7 linked regions of the Tribolium castaneum genome follow. Each later gene encodes a partner of the first gene's protein in a complex. Links are inferred from orthologs where the notes say so. Each region holds a gene or a part of one and is shown on either strand. Other genes may lie near its edges.

The links.
Region 2: MED16 (region 1) and MED1 share a complex: the UniProt entries of both Drosophila melanogaster proteins name them as parts of the mediator complex. The link is inferred for Tribolium castaneum from reciprocal best matches to the Drosophila melanogaster genes MED16 and MED1.
Region 3: MED16 (region 1) and MED19 share a complex: the UniProt entries of both Drosophila melanogaster proteins name them as parts of the mediator complex. The link is inferred for Tribolium castaneum from reciprocal best matches to the Drosophila melanogaster genes MED16 and MED19.
Region 4: MED16 (region 1) and MED9 share a complex: the UniProt entries of both Drosophila melanogaster proteins name them as parts of the mediator complex. The link is inferred for Tribolium castaneum from reciprocal best matches to the Drosophila melanogaster genes MED16 and MED9.
Region 5: MED16 (region 1) and MED18 share a complex: the UniProt entries of both Drosophila melanogaster proteins name them as parts of the mediator complex. The link is inferred for Tribolium castaneum from reciprocal best matches to the Drosophila melanogaster genes MED16 and MED18.
Region 6: MED16 (region 1) and MED31 share a complex: the UniProt entries of both Drosophila melanogaster proteins name them as parts of the mediator complex. The link is inferred for Tribolium castaneum from reciprocal best matches to the Drosophila melanogaster genes MED16 and MED31.
Region 7: MED16 (region 1) and MED4 share a complex: the UniProt entries of both Drosophila melanogaster proteins name them as parts of the mediator complex. The link is inferred for Tribolium castaneum from reciprocal best matches to the Drosophila melanogaster genes MED16 and MED4.

Annotation. Positions count from the first base shown.
Region 1 is NC_087396.1:16,567,347-16,571,400, reverse strand, and holds the start of MED16 (mediator of RNA polymerase II transcription subunit 16), read left to right. Parts: upstream 1-1,254; 5' UTR 1,255-1,371; coding exon 1,372-1,445; intron 1,446-1,493; coding exon 1,494-1,637; intron 1,638-1,682; coding exon 1,683-2,131; intron 2,132-2,180; coding exon 2,181-2,333; intron 2,334-2,378; coding exon 2,379-2,575; intron 2,576-2,625; coding exon 2,626-3,167; intron 3,168-4,054. Other genes in the region: tyrosine-protein kinase Src42A, read left to right, coding at 1-92. UniProt on the Drosophila melanogaster protein: Component of the Mediator complex, a coactivator involved in the regulated transcription of nearly all RNA polymerase II-dependent genes.
Region 2 is NC_087399.1:8,918,250-8,922,264, reverse strand, and holds the start of MED1 (mediator of RNA polymerase II transcription subunit 1), read left to right. Parts: upstream 1-1,215; 5' UTR 1,216-1,357; coding exon 1,358-1,376; intron 1,377-1,439; coding exon 1,440-1,579; intron 1,580-1,628; coding exon 1,629-2,344; intron 2,345-2,395; coding exon 2,396-2,627; intron 2,628-4,015. UniProt on the Drosophila melanogaster protein: Component of the Mediator complex, a coactivator involved in the regulated transcription of nearly all RNA polymerase II-dependent genes.
Region 3 is NC_087395.1:19,591,557-19,594,463, reverse strand, and holds MED19 (mediator of RNA polymerase II transcription subunit 19), read left to right. Parts: upstream 1-1,418; 5' UTR 1,419-1,491; coding exon 1,492-1,672; intron 1,673-1,724; coding exon 1,725-1,981; intron 1,982-2,032; coding exon 2,033-2,308; 3' UTR 2,309-2,407; downstream 2,408-2,907. Other genes in the region: Ctl1 (choline transporter-like 1), read right to left, coding at 157-386, 435-601, 652-1,034, 1,082-1,189; RNA-binding protein cabeza, read left to right, coding at 2,829-2,838. UniProt on the Drosophila melanogaster protein: Component of the Mediator complex, a coactivator involved in the regulated transcription of nearly all RNA polymerase II-dependent genes.
Region 4 is NC_087395.1:15,956,684-15,960,864, reverse strand, and holds the start of MED9 (mediator of RNA polymerase II transcription subunit 9), read left to right. Parts: upstream 1-1,381; 5' UTR 1,382-1,422; coding exon 1,423-1,523; intron 1,524-1,579; coding exon 1,580-1,685; intron 1,686-4,151; coding exon 4,152-4,181. Other genes in the region: Mrgn1 (E3 ubiquitin-protein ligase MGRN1), read right to left, coding at 228-379, 428-615, 663-922, 971-1,103, 1,149-1,231. UniProt on the Drosophila melanogaster protein: Component of the Mediator complex, a coactivator involved in the regulated transcription of nearly all RNA polymerase II-dependent genes.
Region 5 is NC_087394.1:9,286,381-9,289,130, reverse strand, and holds MED18 (mediator of RNA polymerase II transcription subunit 18), read right to left. Parts: upstream 1,414-2,750; 5' UTR 1,256-1,413; intron 1,205-1,255; 5' UTR 1,203-1,204; coding exon 534-1,202; 3' UTR 501-533; downstream 1-500. UniProt on the Drosophila melanogaster protein: Component of the Mediator complex, a coactivator involved in the regulated transcription of nearly all RNA polymerase II-dependent genes.
Region 6 is NC_087401.1:17,495,425-17,498,122, forward strand, and holds MED31 (mediator of RNA polymerase II transcription subunit 31), read left to right. Parts: upstream 1-1,152; 5' UTR 1,153-1,591; coding exon 1,592-1,604; intron 1,605-1,647; coding exon 1,648-1,755; intron 1,756-1,812; coding exon 1,813-2,141; 3' UTR 2,142-2,198; downstream 2,199-2,698. Other genes in the region: uncharacterized protein LOC656943, read right to left, coding at 1-60, 113-321. UniProt on the Drosophila melanogaster protein: Component of the Mediator complex, a coactivator involved in the regulated transcription of nearly all RNA polymerase II-dependent genes.
Region 7 is NC_087397.1:1,784,347-1,787,214, reverse strand, and holds MED4 (mediator of RNA polymerase II transcription subunit 4), read left to right. Parts: upstream 1-1,172; 5' UTR 1,173-1,294; coding exon 1,295-1,362; intron 1,363-1,412; coding exon 1,413-2,106; 3' UTR 2,107-2,368; downstream 2,369-2,868. Other genes in the region: uncharacterized protein LOC661495, read left to right, coding at 1-100, 148-791, 841-1,073. UniProt on the Drosophila melanogaster protein: Component of the Mediator complex, a coactivator involved in the regulated transcription of nearly all RNA polymerase II-dependent genes.

The sequences.
Region 1 (4,054 bases):
TGAAAAGGCCGACGTTTGAGACGTTACAGTGGAAATTAGAAGACTTTTTCACCATGGAAGGTTCAGAATACAAAGAAGCGTCGGCTTACTGAGGTCACGCCCACCCCCCTGCTGACTGGCTGCGTAATTCGATTGACTTACACTACCATTAGTGGGGAGGTGGATATCTATTTCTATGTAACAATAGATAGATATGCCCGTACTCTTATTTCTTGTCGTGACTATGCTTGTGTTTGAAATAATGGTTTGTGAAGTTTTATCAGATTTTTACACGTCGACTAGGTATCACAAACCACTATTTTGCGATTTTAATTTTAAACTTTGCTTCCTTTTATACATCGTGAATGGGGCTCTTCGCTCTGGCTCATCTATTTTTAAATATTCTTTATATAATAATTTATTTTAAGATTTTATGTAATTTTATAGTGAAATTCGACAACGTTAAATTTTCCCCGATTGAAACTTTTAAACGCACAATTCGTGTCTACCAATAAGAATGAAACGATGTGTAATTGTTGCTTGTGCATATTACCTAATTCCCCTAAGTACTTACGCTTTTGCATTTATTTTTTAAAAACGAATAACATTCCTCTCAAGTGACACTATCCGATATCTCTAGCGTTATTTCCCAGATGCCCTACAGTTATTAAAAATCGGTACTAATTTATGAAAGGCGTTGTTTCTTGGTTGTTTTAGTCACAACTTATGTCTTCATTATTTTAAGATTGTTATTAAAGGCATTGTTTATACAGTTATAGGCCATTATGAAAATATTTTTTGTATTATACACTTAGAATATACAATAAAAGTCCTTTACAATTTTCGTTGCAATTTATTCAAACCACCTCCACGAAATAGAGTTTGCTAAATTCTTATAGCACCCACTGGGGCATGACTACTTTAAAAAAAGGTTACTAAATCAGGGGTTTTTAAAGCAGTCGCATGTGGACTTGCTTTACTATTGCAAGGTTTGAAAAGGAACTGAAATAAGACATCCAGTATTTAAACACCAATATCCAATTAAACTCCGCCCAGGTGGGTACTTCTCGTATTTGGATACTTTTATGTTGTCCCTCGTAACGTTGGCAATGTTTCGCGCGCAACCAGTATTGCATCTCCCGAGAATGTACACTCATGAGAATTCTCTACTAATCGCTAACCTTTTATTTTTTTTTCTATCCATCAAACCTAAACTCAGAGCTTACACAATTCGAACAACACTTCGTAATTTACTTTTGTGAGCAATTTTATGAGAATAGAAGATTTCTCGTCAGCGTACATTCACGCGTATGCCCGACAGCTGTCAGGTGTCAAAAATCTGCCAATTCAGTAAAGTTTTAAAAAGATGCTTCATTAGATAAATACCGAAAAATGGACCATATTTTCACCATTAATAAGAAAATAAATAAATCGGTGGACACCAGCAAGCATCTATCATTCACCAAGTACCGCCCAAACGAAAGTTAACCATTTACCAACCGTTTGAATTCCAGACTCGAGAAGTCAACCTTATGCTCGATTTCAAGCTCCAACGTTGTTGCTTTCAGCACGGAATGCAATATCGAAGAAGCGGGTTCCCTCTTTTGGAACTCTAATGTCTACGTCTGCGATTTAAACAGTCCCTGGCAGGTCCACAAGTACGTCCCCAAAAACACTTTCCTGTATTAAACCTCCATTTCCAGAATATTATCAAACTCTTCCCCCATTTCGGTGCTCCAGTGGGACTTTACGGGCGACCTTCTGCTAGTCGCGGACGAAAACGGCTCGATAAAAATTTACAAAGCTAAAGACCACATCCTAAATGACTGGACCCTTGTCCTCCAGACTGTCCTAGAAGGGGAGCACATTCTGTCAGCGGCGTTTTTCCACTCGGGCAAGAAAATCTGCCTCAACTCTGAGAAAAAAGACAGCGCTTTGTACACGGAAAAGTTTCACCATGTCAAGTTTGCCTGCTCTGTTAAACAGTTTGGGGGGCGCCCTGCCAGTGGGGCCCTGCTACTCACAACGACGGGAATGTTGTGCTCGATTTTACTCCCCCAAAGCACGAGCCAGGTCGCAATGGTCATGGCGACAGAAAGCCTGGCCCCTACTAGGATTTTTATCAAAGCTGCTGATATTTGCTATGGCAAAAGTAGGTTTTTTACAAAATCATTTAAACACCAAATAATGTTATTGTGTAGACGGTCATTTTTTGCTCGCTGTGAGTAACGGAGACTTATCAATGCCTATTCAGTGTTATAAAGTCTCTGTCAGGAAAGCTGAAGATAAGTGTGTCATCACAAGCCAGTCTTTACTCAGTTTTTTTCTATTTGAGGCGCCTAAGGAAGCATTAAGTAACAAACTGAGTCATTTAAGCCGTTGTTTAACGTTTGTTTTAGTGGAACAAGTTTCCAAAGAAAAAAATTGCCACATAAGTCATATCAAATGGATAATGAGAGAGGACGCAGATTCGGTGGTTGTTTCAGCCACTAGTGATAAAATAAGCTGTTTGCAAGTGTGGGAATTGAGAGAGAAGGCTTTGCCGGTTCACAAATCACTAGGAAAATCTGAAACTCCCCAGTTTTTTAACACTGTCGTACGTCTATTATCTCATCATGTGATAATCGATACTTACTTATTTTTTAGTTGTGGCAATACCAGTGCCACTTCCAGTATAACAGCAAGGTCACTTCACTAGCTACAAGTAAACTAAGTCTATTAAATAATGTTTCAAGTGGTTATGTCGTGGCCACATTTGCCGACAATTCCATCCATTGCCTCTACAGAGACACTCTAAAACATTTGGTCAGCACCACTTTGACCATTTGTCCGCGTTATTTTGACGAACCTCTCGCCAGATACCCCAAAACTAGCATCAAAATCTCAAACATTGACATGTCCTGGCTCGGCAATATTTTACTCGTGATTGATTCAGACGATAGTCTGCATATGTTTAAGTTACCGCCCCAAATCGACAGCTCAACGCCTCTAAGTGTACCTTACTGTACCACGATTTTAGAGTATTGCATGATGAGCGGTTTTGATTGGTTAGACTTGTTGCTAGTGTTAAGACCTGGAATGTTGGACGCGATATGTGACCGACTCACCGAAAGTTTTAATCGCCAGCCCTCGGCAGTGCAACAGTTTTTCTACGTGCAGTATTTGTGCATGAAAATATCGCTATGCAGGTAGGTTCCTAGTTTACCGACATTGGGTGACAAAATTTTATTATTTAATTATTGTTTTAAATAGAAAGCTTATGATTTTACTGTATTTTTGTATTATGCGAGATATTTTAAGGAGTTTTTACCAGTTTTTTTATAGCAAAGTTAACAGTTTTTGTAATATTTATATTTTTTTGATTTGCACCTTCTTTTTCAAAAATCGAAGTTCCTGTAGAGTATTTCAAAGAAAATGATTAGATTTTTTTCAAATTTTAAATTCCGTAAAGAGTGACAAACTCTAAATTTGAAAGATTACGTTTGAAGAAATTCAACTACTTAAAACACAATTTTGCCAAATTGATTCTTTCTTTACTAAATGAAGAAAAAAACTACCAGTAATTTTGCATCGAGCCAACTATAACCACCATAATATTTTTCAAGTTATTTATAAAGCTTAGGGTTACATTAAAAAAAATGAGATGTTCCCAAACGTAACTTTAAAATGTTTTTTTTAACTTTTTTGAAAACACCAATAAGGGAATAAAGCTTTCTCTTCTAAATGCCCAAATACGATTTCGAAATATTATAAATGACAATGTTGTCGATTTTTGAAAGGGAAGGTGCAAATCTAAACAGTTTTAAAAAAATATAAATACATATCTAGAAAACAAAAGGAAACATAAACACAAAATATTTGAGAAAAATTTGAGTAGCCAAAAAAAAGCAATAAAGAATATAGCTTTTCACTAAAAAAAATGTTTCCAATTTCTGTATAAGCGGAAGTGCCACCACCTTGAAAATATTTTGATACCTGACTAAACAAATTTTTTGATGAATATTGTTATTGGAACCGGAAACACTTTTAATGTGTGCTTTAGGCGCAACACCTCGAATTTTGCGAGTAAAATTCA
Region 2 (4,015 bases), on another chromosome or scaffold:
TTTTATAACTCATTAAACTAATGTATTTACGTGATTTCTGGCAATTTTGAGTTATTTAGTTTATGCTTGTATTACAAAGCAACTTGTTAAAAAAAATAACTACTACAATTTTTTTTCTTTTAATTTTATTACACTAAATCTGCCACTAGCTGTTTCAAAACTATAAAAACAACAACGACGCACTTTACCAAATATTTTTTAAATAAGGTTGATAAAATTGTAAAATAGTTATTAATGATTAGATATCTCATTGAAAGTATAAATTACATTAGTTATTATTTTCTTCAACTGCATGAATAATTTATAACAGCACACATCACAGCAAATTTTGTGAGAAAATGTGACGTTGACGTTTTTATAGTTTTGAAACAGCAAATACAATGGTATAAAGGGGACCAAGGTTCTTCTTTAATATCAGACGATACCTAAGGTGACGGGGGCTATTATTAATTTATTACAGAAATAAAATGTAAAACACCCTTCGTGTAAATTATTTTTTGTTGCATTTGGTTTTTGAAAGCTTTTCATTTTATCTGAATCACATGGAGTAAAATAAAGTAGTCAATCTTGCTTGATTTCTTCTAAAACTCCCTCATATCATGTTTTAACGGTTTGGAAACATTTTTTGTAAAAAACATCTATCTAAGAAATTTTGAAATACAGTAAACTAAGCAATTTTATGTGATTTTTGTTGAATGCCTACAAAATAATAAAAAAAAACATTATGTGGTATAAACTAACGCACAACGTATTTGATTTCTTTATAAAAAAAAAAACGAGAATAAACTATTCAAAATTTTGGAAATGTGCCTATGGTGTACTATTATCTTAGTTGTGATGTGTTAGCGGGCATTTGCTCCAGTTCTGGGGGAAGATGAGGAGATTATCGTGTCAGCAACTTCTTGCGATCTAAAAAGTTGAAAAGTTGTAGCGAATTACGGCTTTAATTGTCATTGACGGATCTAATACGAAATTCGTTGGTAAAAAACGCGGATTAATTCCGGGAGTTTGTTTTACGACCACATTTCATTAAAATATTTGCGTTGCAATAAGCACAACATATGTGCCACCAATTCAAAGCACTCCAAAGTATCAAATCTTGATAAAGTTGAGAGTTGGTAAACACAAATGAATGGAAAAGCACTTGAATATTTTTATTGTTATTGTTATTATCAGACACGAGTTTGAATTGGGCGCCGGTGGCGTAGCCAAATATCCCTAAATTGGGGAAAGTAACGAAACTGTCAAGTTTTTGTTTGGTGCTGATGTATGTTCGAAAAATCGGTTTTTTTCCCTTAATTCGCCCCAAATAGAAAATGTTTACGAACATTTAACGTTAATTTCGCCCGAACTCATCATGAATCGCGTAACAAACGGTGGGTTGCGCGCCCCAGCCAAGAGTTTGACTTTTGACATTTACAACTTTGTTTACTTTTAAGGCAATTTAGCGATGCCACCGTCCGTTGTGGACAAATCCAAAGACTGGCAGTTGGAGATATTGATGGAGAAGCTGCGCTCGAAGGCGTCGCAGTACAAAAGCTTGACAGAGATATCCAAAAATGTGCGAATGGCCATGCTTGTAGGTTATGTCATGTCTGGCACTGCCTCCATTGATGCCCTACTTTCAGGACAAGCGCTACGCGTTGGACAGCGTCGAGAAGAGCCAGCACCAGAAATGCCTCGACACTCTGCAGCACTCCATCAAAGTGACGTCCTTGCAGAGCATGATCGAGCGGCTGGAGAGCTTGACGCGGCAGCTGGGGCTCAAGTTCATGGTGGGCCCCTCGGGGGTGGAGCTCTTCATCTCCTCCGACATGTTCTACCTGGAGATAGTGCTCGACCAGACGGGGGCCGTCAAAGACGTGAAAGTGCACCATGACAGTAAATTGGAGCAACAGAGTTGCGCTGAGCTCGTCAATTGTTTATCTAGTGGCGATTTTGCCGATTTCACTGCCCAGTTGGAAGGTTTTGCCTCGATTTACCAGCTCAATGCTGAGAAAAAGGTCAAGTGTAAGGCGTTCACAGCCTTGCAGTCGCTGGAGTCTGATTTGAGCACCTTGGCTCACTTGCAGTCTTTCATGAAGGAACCTTTCAACCTGCTGTATAAGTCTCCGGTTGGGGTGCTGGAGAAGCGCCGAGGGGGACACCCCATGAAACTCACCTATTTTGTCTCTCCTTATGATTTATTAAATGTTGAGAAATGTGATATTGAACCTATTACTGTTGATACGATCGTTAGTAAAGCGCTGGGGTACAGTGTGACGGTGTGTATGGAAGGGTCCGCTACACATAAGTTGCAAACGACCACTCTCATCACAGTTAATAGGAATATTAACGGGAAAAGGTAAAAATTATTAAAAAAAATTTTTTTTTCTTTGAGGGAAATTTATTTTAGTACGCCGTCTTTTTCATCGCTAAGTAGCCAAAATAGTGCAGCAATTCCGGCCTGTTTTGTCCTCAAATTAAACAAACCAATGCCAATGTGTGTCAATTTAGTTAGACAAATTCAACAAGTTACTGAATTGGATACTATAGAACAATCAGCAACTCATCCGTTACTTAGTTTAATAGTACATCACGCCAGTGAAGGGAAAATGGAGTCTGGGAACAATAAGGGCCTTTTTGTGGTAAGTGGTTGGCAATAATATTTATAAAAAAATGGTCATGTTGACTACTGATTCTCCTAGTTTGCGGTACAAACTTTTCGAGAGCCAAAAAATGGTAAATAATCAAAAATAATCTACTTAATGAAGTTCCTCTGACATTAAAAAATTCTAAAATCAGCAATTTTAAACATAAATACAAAATGTTTCTTACAAAATGATTTTTCTTATGTGTTTTTTTGCTCTATAATTTTGTTAAATAGAATTAGATATTTTATTATTATTATATTTTTTATTTTTTTCTTCAATCAAATTGTTTATTTTTTTGTTATTTCTCATTTATTGTCTGGGTCAAAACCTTGATCAGCTTTGCTGTCTTTTGGTCCACTTTGTGGTAGGAACAACTCGTAGAAAATTTTAATTTTGTTATCGTATTTTTTTTCTTGTTGTAATTAATTATATTGTAACTGTTTTACTGCCACAAATAAATTATTATTATTATATTATTATTAAAAAAACAATTAATTTCACGTCAAAAAATAGTTAATTAACCACCTCAATTCTTGATATATAAGCAGCCATTTCATTTTAACGGACGGGACACTATAGATTTTTTACCAATTTTTATCACCAGTATCAGTAGAAGTGAATTTTTCTTTATAGGAACTTAGTACCAGTCAAACAATTTGCAACCTACAATAGTCGGAGCCACATTTGTAAAATTTGAAATATGAGCAGGAAAAAGAATACAAATTGGTGACGGACGGGACACAAAAAAGACCTTACATTTTTATCGCTAAACAATCTTTATAAAATTCTGTTAATTTAAAAGGCACTAATTCTAAGAATTACTTTATAAATAAATGGTAGATTTTGTTGAAACTTTTGAAACCACGATTAATTTACTTTTTGTTTACACATGGCGGATGGGACAAAAAAATCTTGTGTATGAAAATAACTCTAAAAAAATTATTTAGGCAGGTTTTAATTATTAAAGATTTTAACAATATCAAAATTAGACTGGAAATTAGAAACTTATGTCCTGTAATTGTTTTTTTTAATTAATAATTTGAATATTTAATAATATATAAATTAATGCTTAGTCAAGGCATCCCTAATAATTTCTTCGAACCTTCTCCCAAATACAACGCATTCTTTTTCTGGAGTTTGAGGGGGTTTCAAATTTGAAAAAAATCTCAAAAAATTCACACGTTATTCACAACCTATCCTCAGCCTCTCTACTAAAATTTAATTAATTTTAAAAATCTTAAAAATAAATTAGTTTTAGATTCACAAGTTTTAATAATAACACTAAATCTAAATGTGAAAAAAATATGATTTTTTTGTTTTTATTTTTTTTTATCAAATCTTTTCTTTTAAGATTAAGGACCAGTTTCGCATTATAATCCCTT
Region 3 (2,907 bases), on another chromosome or scaffold:
ACATTTTAAACTATATGGGTCGGTTTGCAGGCTGATTCTCGATTTCGTTAGAAAAGTATGTATTCCACTACTTTACGGACTATTTTGAGTTATTTTACAGGCTATTTCGTTCACTATATGAACGACATCCCGATAAGTTTTAATTATTTCTCTTACTGTGATAACGGTGGCGATGATTGAGTACCACAAAAAGGCCGTTTCGTTGCGAATTGACTCCATCAAAAGCATGTGTTTGTTCGTCTTATCCAAATCATACTTAATATCAAAATAAGTGTACCACAAAAACGCTGTGCCCAAGATGCTCGCAATTGTGAACAAAATCATGATTATGTACGACACTAAATGGGCCAGTAGATGCAGTATTGAGATAGTTAACAGCGAAAAAACTGAAAATCAAACTGTACAAATTTTCCTGTGACTATCCAAAGGCTCACATAGTGATAAAAACGTTAAATAAAGGATTTCCTTCCAGGTGCTGTATATGTCGCCCAAAATTTGCTCAAGTGTGTCCCAACTGTTCAAAGCTTCGTAAAAATTGCTCAAAATTGCTTCGCCTGCATCTTGGAATGATTTAGGAACGCAACGGTTGAGAACTGGGGTGCTTTAGAAAACCAGTTTTATCTTTATAGAACACAAGTTTAGGGGAAATACCTTTCGTAAATAGGAAGTGCCGGACACGGCCCTAAATAGCTACTCAGAATCTCCTTATTCGCAATACTCTTGTTCTTAAAATCGTCATAATTAAAATCATATCTACACAAACTGACGCCAGTTTTTTGGTAATATTTCTGGATATCTTCAACTTTTTTTAACGTCTCCGTGGGACACTGTTTTACGCATATCTTCAGCGACTGTTTCAGCTCTTTAATATCGTAGAAGAGCAAAAATTGTTTGTCTGAAGTGTCCAGTCCTGATACTTCCAAATTGGACATTTTTCTGTTATTTTTTGTCCCGCAAATGTTCCCAAATGAGTCATAGCCGTTTATAATTCTGATGGGATTGCCGTAGACAAAGGAGAACGCCGCAATTAAAACCTAAAAATATTAATGAGGCAAATTACACACCAATCAAGGTTATTTACCATTAGTAACCAAAACGCAATGTACAAACACAACCAAAACACGTCGGTGCACCCTCTCTGAGCGGGTTCTTCCCGCTCGGGCTCCTTTTTCGACTCGCAACAACCCATTTTCGTTAACTCAAACCACTTTTTTCACAAAAGACGCATGTTTTCACTGAGAAAACCAGCAATGTTTTGGGGGCGGCGGCTTCGACGCGGTATCTTAGCAACAGTAACAATTGCACAATCTCGCCAACCAAACTAAACCTAAAGTTACCAAACTAGCAGGGTTCCAAACGCCAGACCGTGAAAATTACCAGGGTAACAATTGATTTGTTTGTTTGTTTGACGATTTTGTGTTGGTACGTGATGCTGAAGTGACATTTCCCATTTCCAGCTGCATCGTTGTTGCAAAACGATGAAGTTGTAAGATGATGGGCGATCAGTTTCGTAAAGTGGAACAATATTCGCCCAAATCTTCGCCTAGAGGGGCTCGTTCCCCTGTCGTTTCACGTCAGGATTCGTCAGGAACATTAAAAACGACAATTTTGTTAGGAAAGAACCCTTCAATTGTCCCTAGTGGACCTTTCTATTTGATGAAAGAGCCTCCAGGTAAGCAAGACAAGGCTTGAAGTCGTTTAAATCACGCGGACGGTGGTTGTAGGAGAGTCGGAACTAACAGGAGCGACGAATTTGATGGCCTATTATGGCCTTGAGCACTCTTACAGCAAATTCAGTGGGAAAAAACTCAAGGAACAGTTATCTTCGTTTTTGCCAACTTTGCCTGGCGTTATTGACTCTCCTGGACAGCATGATAACAGTTCGCTAAGATCAGTGATTGAGAAGCCTCCAATTGGGGGCAAGGAGTTGTTACCATTGACTAGCATCCAACTGGATGGGTTTAGACTACACCCTGGGGCGGTAAGCTTGATAATTTCCCTTTAATGTGTTTTGTTGAGTATTGGATTTTAGCTCCCTGAACAATACCGCTACGCAAATGCGGCGCCTATGAAAAAGCATAAAAATAAACACAAAAAACACAAACACAAAGATGGGGGGCTTCCAAGTCAGGAGACTACCATTACCGATGCTGGAAGTGATACACACGAGAAGAAGCATAAAAAACAGAAACGACACGACGAAGATAAAGAACGGAAGAAGAGGAAAAAGGAAAAGAAGAGAAAAAAGCAGAAACACAGTCCTGAACACAGTGGGGGCCTAACGCCCAGCCAACACTCAAATTCGTGAAGATCTTTGGATTGTGAATAATTCCAACTTACCCTAGGTTTAAGATCTATTATTATTTATTGTTTATTATTTTTGAAAATAAACAGACTGTTATTTTTATTAAGTTTTTACTGGTCGTTTTAGCAAAGCTAGCACCACTAGATTAATTAAATTCATGATTATCAAAAAATAATAAATTTGAGGGCCTACAAATGCCCTTAGGCCGACCCTGAACTCTGATAAGGTTTTCAGTGCTGCCACAACAAGTTCTCCAGCTGTGTTTCATACAAACTTATTATTACAATTTATATCCATCACAAATGTTGTTTTTAAGTACCTCGACGGTATTCAAGTGGAACTGAGAATATAAAACAAGGTTGTTTGTGGAAAATTTAATATTTTGGCGTGCTTTATTTAGTGTGTTTTTTTGGTGGGGTTGGCAGGGCTGTTAGCGCCGACCAATCACAAGCCCCCAATCCGTAGCGTCTTTTCCCTCGCATCCATTTTCCTCCTGTTTGTTCGATTATCCCAACGGTAGAAGATGGGCGATCGTAAGTATCCCGATTTTTAAAAAATCTCGCTCATCCCTGTACGAAATCACCTCGTGTATTCAAATTTCG
Region 4 (4,181 bases), on another chromosome or scaffold:
ATGTTAATTATGACAATTCGTCAGAAAAAAAAGAATACATGTTTTATTCAATAGTAAACTGATTTAGATTCTGGCCTCAGAAGAGGTTTTAAAGTTATGTGTATTATTTATTGTGGCTTAGTGCCAACAAAATTGTCCGTTTGTGAGAGAGTTCCGCTTATAGGTGTCCGTTAAGAGAGATTTCACTGTGTATTTATGCCCAGTAGGGCATGTAAATAATCAATCACCTTGTCGTTATTTTTGTTCTCAATGCCGTATATTTCCTGCAGGAGGTAGCAAAGACCGTCAACGAATAATTTCTGTTTGAGAGCTTTTAAAACATAAGTACCGTCGGACAATTTTTCGGCTGTGGCGATAGTTGTGTGTGATTGTCTCATTTCTGGAACAATCAATTCAAAAATTAAATTCAAAAACGGGTCAAACCAACCCTCAGCGCCTTCCTCCGCCACACAGTGAATGGCAATTGGAATAATCTCCCGGTCAACATCATACAACAACTCCTCTTCTGTGTACTTCGAGGGATCAAAAACGTGAGTCATTTGGCAAAACTGTTGGTTCGCACCGCGTTTGTAATGAAAAGTCTCGGAGGTCGTGTTAGGGTCACGCGGCAAGTACCTTCAAACCCCATAAAATTGCAAACCCATGACAAAAACCCAACTTACGTGACTCCACTTGGTGTAAACTCCTCGGTACAAAAATAGTAGATTGTTATTGCACACCTGACGTCACAATCGAACGTGAACTCGATATTAAACGTCGAGCTCTTGCCCAGCTCAATATCCCTGATGTCCCGCTCGTTCTTTTCCGCCGGTTTGGAATAATCAGCAGGGGCGCGGACAAACCGCAGCGACTCTTTCCGGATGTTCACCAGACTTTTGAGCGTTTTTGTGGGCTCATTAGGCTGGGGCGGGGGGTAGGGAAACTAGAAACGGCACTGTGGGGGCGAAACAACCGCATAATGGCTACTTACAGGGGTTGGTCTACTGCCCAGGAAATTCAAATCGGAGTTCTCGCCGAAGAGGTAAGACTCGGGCTGGGGGGTGTCGAAGCGCTCGCCCCCCATTATAAAGTGGCTCCCGAAGTAGTTCCCTTCAGAAAAACGCCTTCAAGGTAATTGGTACGGAAAAAAGCAAAGCGACATACCAGACCTGGGCGGGTACTTGTACGCGTGGTTTGACACCACGTCCACTTCCTCGACCCCTGCGTGTTGTCTGCTAGCCAACGAACCCATTCTGCGGGCTTGAAATTGCCAAGTTTTTCCAAAATCAGAAATTATTGTTGTTTTTAGTTTGACATTATTATTGACACTTGTGACATTTGAGGCGTCGTCGCCAACACCAGGGACACAAAATCCCTGAGTGAATGTGTCAGAAAATTCATGTGGGAAAGAAAATTCAATGAAAATTCAGGAAATGCCTTGCTATGATGGAATCTGACGAGCACAACCAGGAGTCAGAGAGGAATGTCACGGTGGAAAATTTGAATATCGAGATCTTGCCCATTATCTACGAAATAATACGCAGGTTTGTTGATAAAATTAGTGACAGGCAAAATCGTAATGTCTTGCATAATCATTCAGTGTTGAGAAAGACCACCACGATAACACCGCCAAGGCACGAGAGTCGCAAGACTGTTCCCAGAAGGTGCTCGAGTTGCAAAAACGTTTGGACCAAGCCAGAGCCGAGGTAACTTTCTTCCACCCTAATCACTTCATACCCATAGTAGGGGATACGAATTAGGATCATACTGTACTATCTTCTGGTTACCGGATGAAAATATCTTTTTATCAGAGATAATATCCAAAGTCCAAAGGATTGTATCGCGAATAGGTTTCCTAAAAAAAATGTTCCAGGCCATGGTAAAGGGGGCTAAAAAGCGTCGAATTTTAGCCTTTTTTCAGTATTTTACAACTGAAGGCTACAGGGGAAAAACAACCTCAGTCCACTTGTTTGAGAAAATGAGGTGGGGTTGTAATATTGTAGTTTTTGAGAAAACAATCAGATAATTGAAGCGGGAAATAGCAAATACGACTTCAGTATTGAGCAAAATATGTTACAAATTACACTATAATGAAAAAAGTTATGGTTCCACGTTAGAAAACTTTAAGGATATAATTATTTTTTAGCTCACTGCAATCAAGAAAATAAAAAAAGTTAAGAGGCTTGTTAAAATTTGAATAACTTTAAACTTAAATGAAATACCGTATTTTTTATTTTTGCATCTAAAAGACCTTTAAATTGTCTATTAAAGAACATTAACAGTTAAGTGCTGATTACTCAAAAGATTATACTTAACTTAAAACATTAAAAAAAGTCATTAAAAATTATTCACAATTGTTTCAATAGTCGAAGAGTAAAATTTTCAGCTAATAATAACTTTATTATTTTTCAGTTATTTTTCACAGTAAAATAACTAAAATTTTCTTATCTATGGCGAATTTTTAAATCCCTGTTTAAACTCCAACAAATGATCCGTGGTGAAGTTGCTAAGGTTATGGTAACAGTAATCCTCATGAATAATCTGCATTGTTGATGAAATTAAATTTTAAAGTCAAATATTTGTTTAATTATAAAGGTTAGGCATTTGAAACTTTGTTTTTAAGTAGACAATTTAATAATCTTTGAAAAATAAAAACAAAAACTTTTATTATGTTATTCAACTTTTAACAAACTTCATAATTTTTCTACGTTCCTAATTGCATGCGTTAACCAATTTAACTTTGAACATTCTTAAAAAAATAAGTTTGTATTGTAGCTAATTTCGGAAATATCCTATACAGGATGATTCAAAAATGTTCGACAAACACTCGTATGGTGATAAAAGACGTTCAGTTAAGCACAAAAATGAAGTCAGATTTTTTTATATATTTTTAAGTTTGTATTCCTTAGCAACGGTATCGATTGTTTCTCTTTTGTTTCCTAATATGTTGAATTTAAGATATTGTCGAATTTACAAGTTTTTTTATTGTTTTGCACATAATTAGACATTATTTGTTAATTTTTTTCAACAGGTATTTGTTTAATGTTGCAAGAGATGTCGTTTCTGCTAATTAAGGTCAAAAAAATATGGTCCGAAGCATCAAAAAATTAACTTAAAAATTTAACTTTGAAGAGCTGTAGCTATCTCGTGAAAAAAGACTCAAACAATTTTTTGTCATAGGAACTTTTAATTCAGTTTGATGTCCTTTATCAGCACCCGAGAGATTGTACGAGTACTTTTGAATTACTCTGTATATTTGAAAGTAGTTTTAGATGAGGCAGGTGATTAGTATCTACAACTTAAGGAAAAATAATAATAATAAAAACCCGTTATATGTACGAATAAACAGGTGGTTTCAAATGAACAGCAAAGTTGCTGTTCTCTGCTCTTCCACTTAAACCTTTCAAACAAGAAGAAATATACAGCAAATGAATAAAGACAAAATAAAAAAAAATTGACATAACAAACCAGTACAAAATAACCAGTAGATTCCCATGACTGTCCTTGTTCGGAAAATTATTTGTCAAATATTGCAGCCTTGAAACTATAAGAAGATTCAATTTCTAGAACTGTCGATGGATGCTATTATAATCTTTAGCTACATTAAAAAAGGGACTTTTAAAAGAGACTTGTGCGACTTACGGTAACATTATGTATGTCACGACGGAAGATTATTTCATCAGTGGGACTTGGAAGTAACTATTTTGTGATATAAATAAAGTCCAAGTTTTGTTAATTTGATTTTTATATAGCATGGTCGCCTCACGTCCACTTTCAATTATTTGATCTTTATTTTTTTAAGTTTTCATTTTTTCTTGTTAATTTTCAATACTTTACACAATCATGCAAAATTCGATTGTCTAATTTCAACACTTTTAAATTTGTGTTTGTTAAATAATATTACATTGTTGAAAATGAACCTAGAATGATTCAAAGTGAAAAAACTTGAAAAACTTTATTTATACTCCTTCCTCAAAAGCCCAAGTATGTTGGAATTTCCTGATGCCATAGGCAAACCGGAGACAAGAATTCTGAACCAATTACTTTTCTAACAATTAAAGATAAATAATGGACTTTACCTACTCGCATTTTTGATAAAATAAGCTTCATCCGTTAAACAGATGAGTGCAGAACGACCGTAATTCGAATCTTAGACTACCAACCCCTTGCAGATCCGGCTATTGCCCGGGATTGAGTACAGC
Region 5 (2,750 bases), on another chromosome or scaffold:
GTTAAAATACCAGGTGTCATCACTTTGGTAGACACCCCCTAACTTTTTTATTTAAAAAAGTATAAAAAGACATATTCAGGGTTTTAGGGAAAGGTTTAGCAATATTTTTTTAAGGATTTTTCAAGGCTGTGTAGATTGCTGTTAGTTTTTAAGATATCAGTCAATGTTTGGGAAAGTAGTTAAAATACCAGGTGTCATCACTTTGGTAGACACCCCCTAACTTTTTTATTTAAAAAAGTATAAAAAGACATATTCAGGGTTTTAGGGAATGGTTAAGCAATATTTTATTAAGGATTTTTCAAGGCTGTGTAGATTGCTGTTAGTTTTTAAGATATCAGTCAAAGTTTGGGAAAGTAGTTAAAATACCAGGTGTCATCACTTTAGTAGACACCCCCTAACTTTTTTATTTAAAAAAGTATAAAAAGACATATTCAGGGTTTTAGGGAAAGGTTTGGCAATATTTTTTAAGGATTTTTCAAGGCTATATAGATTGTTGTTAGTTAAATCTTAATTGTATTTTATTTATAAATAAATTACGGTAAATTTCCAAGTCTTTTATAATCGATTTTTTCAAGCTGAACCAACGGCCTCAACTGCTCGGCAAAAATTCTCATATCCTCCGCAATAGCATCTTGTCCACTCGGGGCCAAAACGGACAATTCAACTAAATAACTCTGGGAAATCGCTTCTACGCCTTCGCCCGGCTTACTCGTCATGCTCCCCATTTTGAAAATCTTCGACACTGTGATTTTCATCCTGCCTTTGCGGAACATGTACCCCCGGGCGATGTACTCAAAATCCACTCTGCATCCAAGCTCGGTCAAAAATTCAACAATTGTGGAACTGCAAGCCATGTCAATACTCGATCTGACGACTGTTGGCCGGTTCTTGTCGCCTAGCTCCTGTTGCCCCACGTAGCGCAGCTGCCAGGCGGCGTCGGGCACGTCGAGGGCTCGCCGGACTCGCAGTGGGAGCACCATGGGGGCCCCTGGGTTGGTGGCCCGGAGGGTGAAACACAATTCGTGGTCGTGGAACGACTCAGGGCCGCTGTCTACGTTGTCGCACAGCCCGCGCAAGCGGTGGAGGAGCACCTCGACGTATTGGTCCAAGACTGAGCCCTGGAGGAGGTACTCCTGGTTGGGGATTATGTTGCATTTGAGGGCGGCGTTTAGGGAGTCGATGGCCGTGCCAGGAGTCCCCATTTCTGTAACAGTGACAATCACTTTGCGGAAAACGGCCTATTTCCGACAATTACTGAAGATTATCACAGTTTTTGGAGGTTATGTTTTGATTGAAGTGTAAGTTGTCAGTGTATGTCGGCGGAGACAGCCCCAAAAATGGTGGTGGCACCATGAAAATTACAGTCGACCAGACAAGGGCTGCGCGCATGGAGCTAGCACCGTTTCCCCACCATTCTCGTTTTCTACAGCCAAGTTCACACCAGGAAAATTATCAAAATAATCGTAATTCATTATAAAAACATCAATAAGTTGTTACGCTGACTTGCATAACACATTTGTAGAACATCTCCTGACCATTGTAATGAGTTTCTATTACAAATTAAAACTTAACTGTATTTAATTTCTGCATTTTTTATTCTCATATTCAAGCAATGCAAACTGATTTTTTTTCACCCCCTTTATATGCAATTTTCTTTATTTTTGCAGGAGATTAAGCTCTTCGATAGGGCCTTTGACTGTTAAAAATCATGTTCGGACAAACACCCCTTGGGACCTTAATGAATTTTTAAAGATTCTTTAAAATTTTCCGATTTCGCAAATTTTATCTTTAAAAATTCATTACAGTATTCAGAATGGCCTCCGAAGGGCGAATCAGTTATTACAGGAAATGAGGAAAATAGTAAAAATAACGAATAAGAATTTTGCAAAATGCTTTTATAGAAAAGTTGTTGTACTTTATGTTTTATTACGTGGTAAACTTAACACACCTTAACATGCCCTTTATAAACGATTAAACGCCCTTTTTCATCAAAATGTTTAAGACGTAAAGTTCATTTTTGCCCTTTATACATTTCAATAAATCATACTGAAGTTTATGTCGTTGACTCAAAGGTAAATTTATCTGTCCATAACATATTCAATAGTAATTAATAACGCTCTAAAAGAGCAGAAACAGACACAAAATCCATAAAAATGAAAGATTTGACATTTCCAAATGATAACATAACCCTACTTTTAAAACCGAATTTTCTGGAGACTTAAATTTAACACAATTTGTGGCGATACCAGTAATTTTCACACCAAAATTTCACATCAACGGCTCGTTTGCACAAATAAAAGGAGGAAAATAGTGAAAATAATAAATAAGAGTTCTGCAAAATGCTTTTATAGAAAAGTTGTTGTATTTTATGTTTTATTATATGGCAAACTTAACACACCTATACATGCCTTTTATAAACGATTAAACGTCCTTTTTCATCAAAATGTTTAACACGAAAAGTTCATTCTTGCCCTATATACATTTCAATAAATCACACTGAAGTTTATGTCGTTGACTCAAAGGTAGATTTATCTGCCTATAACATATTGAATAATAGTTATAAACGCTCTAAAAGAGCAGAAACGGACACTAAAATCCAAAAAATGAATGATTTGACATTTCCAAATGATAACATAACCCTACTTTTAAAACCGAATTTTCTGGAGACTTAAATTTAACACAATTTGTGGCGATACCACTAATTTTCACACCAAAATTTCACATCACCGGCTCGTTTGCACAAATAAAAG
Region 6 (2,698 bases), on another chromosome or scaffold:
GCAGTAAATCTTATTTAGTAATTTTTCGCCGTCGGGTTGGTCACGCAACTTATCGAAGACCTAGCCAAAAAGGCGTGTGATTTAAATTTTGACAAGTGATAGACATACGTACAGGACAATTGATGATATCTTCAAGTCTTTCGTTAGGTTTTTTCCCTTTTTTTGGACGAACTAACAAATAAATTGTTGATAATTGAGGACATGAGCGTAGTAATTTCTCGATTAGTACTTTCCCCATAAAACCAGTGGCGCCCGTGATGAGGATGTGTCGGTTTTTGTAGAATTCCGCAACCGCTGATTTATTGCTCATTGTTGAGAAACCTCAAAAACGATTAAGAATTGATTTATTTGCGTGTTGTGTAACGTGCACGCCACTGGTGAAAAAGTTAGGTAATAGGACAGTGGCGTACAAGGAAATGTCAAACACGATTTCGGCAAATATTTGATTGTGGACACAGCACTTGTGATAAGTAGCCGCGTAACAATACACGAGTTTTTGCACAATTGCTTTAACAAATAGAAAAAAATTTCAAAATAATGCAGTGAACTTTTTATGAATTTCGTCAATTCTCATTAATACATTAATAAAATAATAAGTAATGTGTTTCCATTAAAATTAGCAATGATAAATTACTGATATTTACTAAATTAAACAGTGAATTAATTATTGCATCAAATTTTTTATAAAACAAATGATCGAAAAATGAAGCAAAATCATATAAAAGGGTGACTTTGTTTTTTATTTTAATTATGATTACCAAGAAACTTTAATTTAATTAAAAATTGTAAAAATCGAAAAGCATTTTTTTAATTAATTCTTTACTTAAAAAGGATTTAATAGTAATAATAACTGATAATAATTAAACCGTAATTACAGTAAATTAAAAAGAAATTATGATTTTTAAACATATTTGAGACTAAAAACGCTAATCAGGCGTTAAATAGCTGATTAAATAATTAGAAAATTGTTAAATTAATTAATGAAATAATTAATGATAAGATAATTCAAAATTACAATAAATGAGCCAAAAAAAACGCGATTAAAGTCCTCACTTTAAATTTTTTATTGATCCCGCAAAAGTGAAAAGAAAAAATCTCGACTTACTGAAAGGCAGCAACAAAACAATAAAATTGTTCACACACAAAGCAGCAATGTTTTGTAGACAAAGCCGCAACCCATCCACCTGTTTTCATACAAATACCATTACCATATACCACCACCATGGGAATTTCCATGAAAATTCCTCGTGTTGGGGATCATTATGTTAGTCAGTTATTTTCTTATTGGTGGTCAATTTCCCGCTCAATTAAATAACTGGGCTACTTTCACCAGCGATTGATTTTTCCACACGCTTCTTACAACATGTACCGTTTCGATCCGATTTCTTATTATTGAGAATTGAATTACGCAAGAATAATACTTTCAATAGAAGAACAAGGGAATTTGCCAAGCCTCTAATGGTCGCTTTTCTATTGTTGTTACTTGTGACATTTTAAGTGCACGCTCTTACAACACGAACTTGCATTTATCCTAATTGATTAATTAAAAAAATTCGAATTCGAATCACGCGCCATTTTATGCACAACAAACATGGCTGGGAAAGGTAAGCGTCCTTTAATTAAATTTAGGTAATAAACAAGTTTTAGGCTGGAATTATATGTCAGGGGCTCCGGAAACCGACGATCAGCAAAGACTCCGCTTCCAGATTGAGCTAGAGTTTGTGCAGTGTCTCGGAAATCCTAATTATCTCAACTGTAATGACGTAACCTCACTTTTTCGGGAGGGAAAAAATACAATTTTTTGCGTTTTAGTTCTCGCACAGCGTGGTTATTTTAAGGATAGTACGTTTGTTAACTATTTGAAGTATTTGCTTTATTGGAAGGAGCCCGAATACGCCAAATATTTGAAATATCCAATGTGTTTGTATTTTTTGGATTTGTTGCAATATGAACACTTCCGGAGGGAATTGGTGAATGCTCAGTGTTCGAAATTTATCGACGATCAACAACTTTTATTGTGGCAACACTACACCAGGCGGAGGAGTCGTTTGTTAACCCCTTCGAATGTTAACGGGACAGGTGAACAAAGTATTAACCAGAATAGCCAAAGTAACGGACATTTGAGCAATAAAATCAGCTAGGTAGGGTACAAATGTGATTTTTTGGTGGTTAAGTGAAATAAATTATTTTTTTGTTTAGTTACATAAATCACCAAGATCCCACCAATTGCACCAAAATCCCACCCATTTCCATCCAAATCACAATTGATTGGCTGTCGCTGTAATTAAGGTAAGTTCCTTGTTTTTCCTTAAAAATCGTAAAAAATGCAAAATTTGTAACAAACCTCAAAACCAAAAGTCCCTGAACCCGCCCCGCCAAATTCAAATACAAGTTCCGTTTCTCGACCCAATTGGACTTAACTGTACACGAAATCCGCTCGACTTTCATACACCAAAAGTGTACTTGGCTTACACGATTTGTTTATTAATAATTGTTGACATGGTTCTATTAACAATCAAATCAATCATTTCGTTTCGATGCGTCCAACAATTAAAATGAATTTTTTCAAAATAATTTTTGTCGTTATTGTGATAATTTTGTGTGCTAGTGATGCGAAAATACGCAAGAAAAATACCAAAGGTTTGATTTTGCGGCAAAAAGAAACGAATGCGATTAATTTTCTCAGGTAAAAAAATAT
Region 7 (2,868 bases), on another chromosome or scaffold:
CGCATAAAAAACACGAAACTCCGCCTGTGGCAAGTGACGAGGCGAATAAACAGGCAAAAAAGAGGGACAAAAAGCCAACAAATGAGGAAGAAACCGACAGGTATGATTGTTGGTGGTTTTAAGGGAAAATACTAGTTGTGTTTAAAGGAAACGCAAGCGGAGTCCTGTGCCTGAAAATCGGGACAGGCGGGAGAGGGACGATAAGAGGGTCCGGGACGATCGGGGGCGGCATGACGACAGGAGAAACCGCCCCAATGACCACCGTTCTCACGATAACAGGTTCAGAAACCGGCGTCCTGATTACAGAGACAGGGAACGGGATTACAGGAACCGACGGGACGATAACAAAAATTACCACAACCGGGAGCGAAACAGAGAGAACCATCCAAGGCGGCGTAGCAGAAGCGCCTCCTTTGACCACTCGAACGCCCGTTGGGGCCGCGAGTCGGACGACAAAAAATCCGACAAGAAGGAAAAAGACCAGAAGGAAAAGCAAAAACCGAATTTCGGTCTTTCGGGAAAACTTACCGAAGAAACTAACACTTATCGTGGCGTTGTTATAAAATATAGCGAGCCGCCTGAGGCTTGCAAGCCGAAACGTCGGTGGCGGTTGTACCCTTTTAAGGGCGAAAAGGCCCTTCAGACTTTATACATACATCGCGAAAGCGCCTACTTGATTGGGCGCGATCGCAAAGTTGTTGATCTCCCTGTAGATCACCCTTCGTGCTCAAAACAACACGCAGCTTTGCAGTATCGCCTAGTCCCTTTCACGCGTGAGGATGGCACCACTGGTTTGTGGGACAGCTGGTAGTGTGTTGGGTTTTTCATTGTTTTTTTCAGGGAAGAGAATAAGGCCGTATTTGATTGATTTGAACTCGGCTAATGGGACTTTTATCAATAATAAGAAGATAGAGCCGAGTAAATATGTGGAGTTGTTGGAGAAAGACGTGATCAAGTTTGGGTTCAGCTCAAGGGAGTACGTTTTATTGCATGAGAATAGTAAAGATGAGACACAGGATGACGATGTGAAGCAGGAAGAGCCGGCGGTTCAAGTCAAGAGTGAAGAGAATTGAATTTTGTGTATATATTTTAATTTAGCTTAGGTTTCTTTCAATAAAGTAATTTTTTCGATTAAAATTCCCGCTCTTACGATTTAGTTATTCTCTGGGCAGATGGCATCGCAGTGTGCGCGTTATTTTGACATTTGTGTATTTGAGGTTGTGTTCGAAATAAAAACTGTTCAATTGATTATTTCGTTTAATATTTAAACCCGTGAGTGTTTTTCCCCATCATTATGTCGTCTCAAATGAGCACGAAGGAAAAACTCCTTTACATCCTCGACGATATTGAGTTAATCTCCAAGTACGTCCCCCTTTCGGGTCATTTCGTATGGTTTTATTTGCGTTTTTTAGAGAAATAATCGAGAATTCAATCGCCCCCAAGCACCTCAAGCTTTCCGGCCCTGAATACGCTCAACTGACCGAGCTTTTGGTGGCCAAAAACACCGAACTGACTGAAACCCTTAAACTGGCCGCTGAACAGGCGCAAATCGACAAAAAAATGGACATCTTGAAGGCCGAAGTGGAGCGTCAGGACAACGACATTAACAACTTGCAAAAACAGCTCAAAGAGGCCGAGCAAATCCTGGCCACTGCGATTTATCAAGCCAACCAGAAACTCCAGTCCATTTCCCGCGCAAATAAACGGCCGGTCTCGTCCGAGGAACTTATCAAATTTGCGCACAGGATTAGCGCGTCTAATGCGATATGTGCCCCCTTGACGTGGCAACAGGGGGACCCGCGCCGGCCGTACCCCACCGATATTGAGATGCGGTTGGGGCTGCTGGGGCGGCTGATGAGCGATCCAATTAACGGGCATTTGTTGCAACAGCAGAACAGTTTGTCAGATTTACATAGACAGGGGCACCCGGGGGAAATACCCGCCGCGCAACAAAATCAATTTGCATGGCATCCCTCGGGGGAGATTCACATGAGTGTGGGGCAAGGGAGTGTCCCGATGGACACGCGGAACCATAAACAGGAGACCGAGGATGTGGAGGTCATGTCCACGGACTCCAGCAGCAGTTCCTCAAGCGATTCTCAGTAGTTTTGTGTTTTTTCCCTGGACTTGATTCATCATATTTATATAAAAAAATTAAGCGAGTTTGTGTGGAGAGTATACCATGAGGGGAAATAAAATGATAAATCAATAGATTGAGGCGGCTATTTGGGGAAAAAGTCTTGTCTGCTTATCTCATCAATCAACTCTTCGTGACAGTTTAGATAAGATCTTTGTTTGCGTCTGACGAATATTGTTTTCTTATGTTTGTTTATAATGGAAGGAAAATAAAACACATTTCATTGTAATACCAACGTCTATTATTTAATTATTCCCTACAAGCTGAAGTGATTCAAATTTATTGTTTGATGAAATGATAATCACAAAAATGAAGCAGTTTCTCATTTTCTGAAATTTCTAAACAACACTCACTTTCTATAAAAACAAGTTTGTTGTTTTGATTGCGTCTTTATGATAGGTACAAATTTACAAGTAGGTTTTTTGATTTAAATTTTTATCGGATATGTGAGTTTTTTATCACAGGGTCGTAGTGTGATAATTTGAAAATTAAACCGCGTTATTACAGCAGAGCTAGGGCTGAAAAACGAGAGAAAGTCACCGAATATTATCGATATTCTTAACAATGACATTATCGTATCACAGTATCGATAATGATAAGTTTCCAACTGTAATCAATTTTTCGAAATACTTTAACAAACGAGTTATTTATTGTCATTATTACGCGATATGGGTATCAATAAATCAATAACATACAGGCGACTCATTTCCAAGGCTTGATCAACTGGTGGT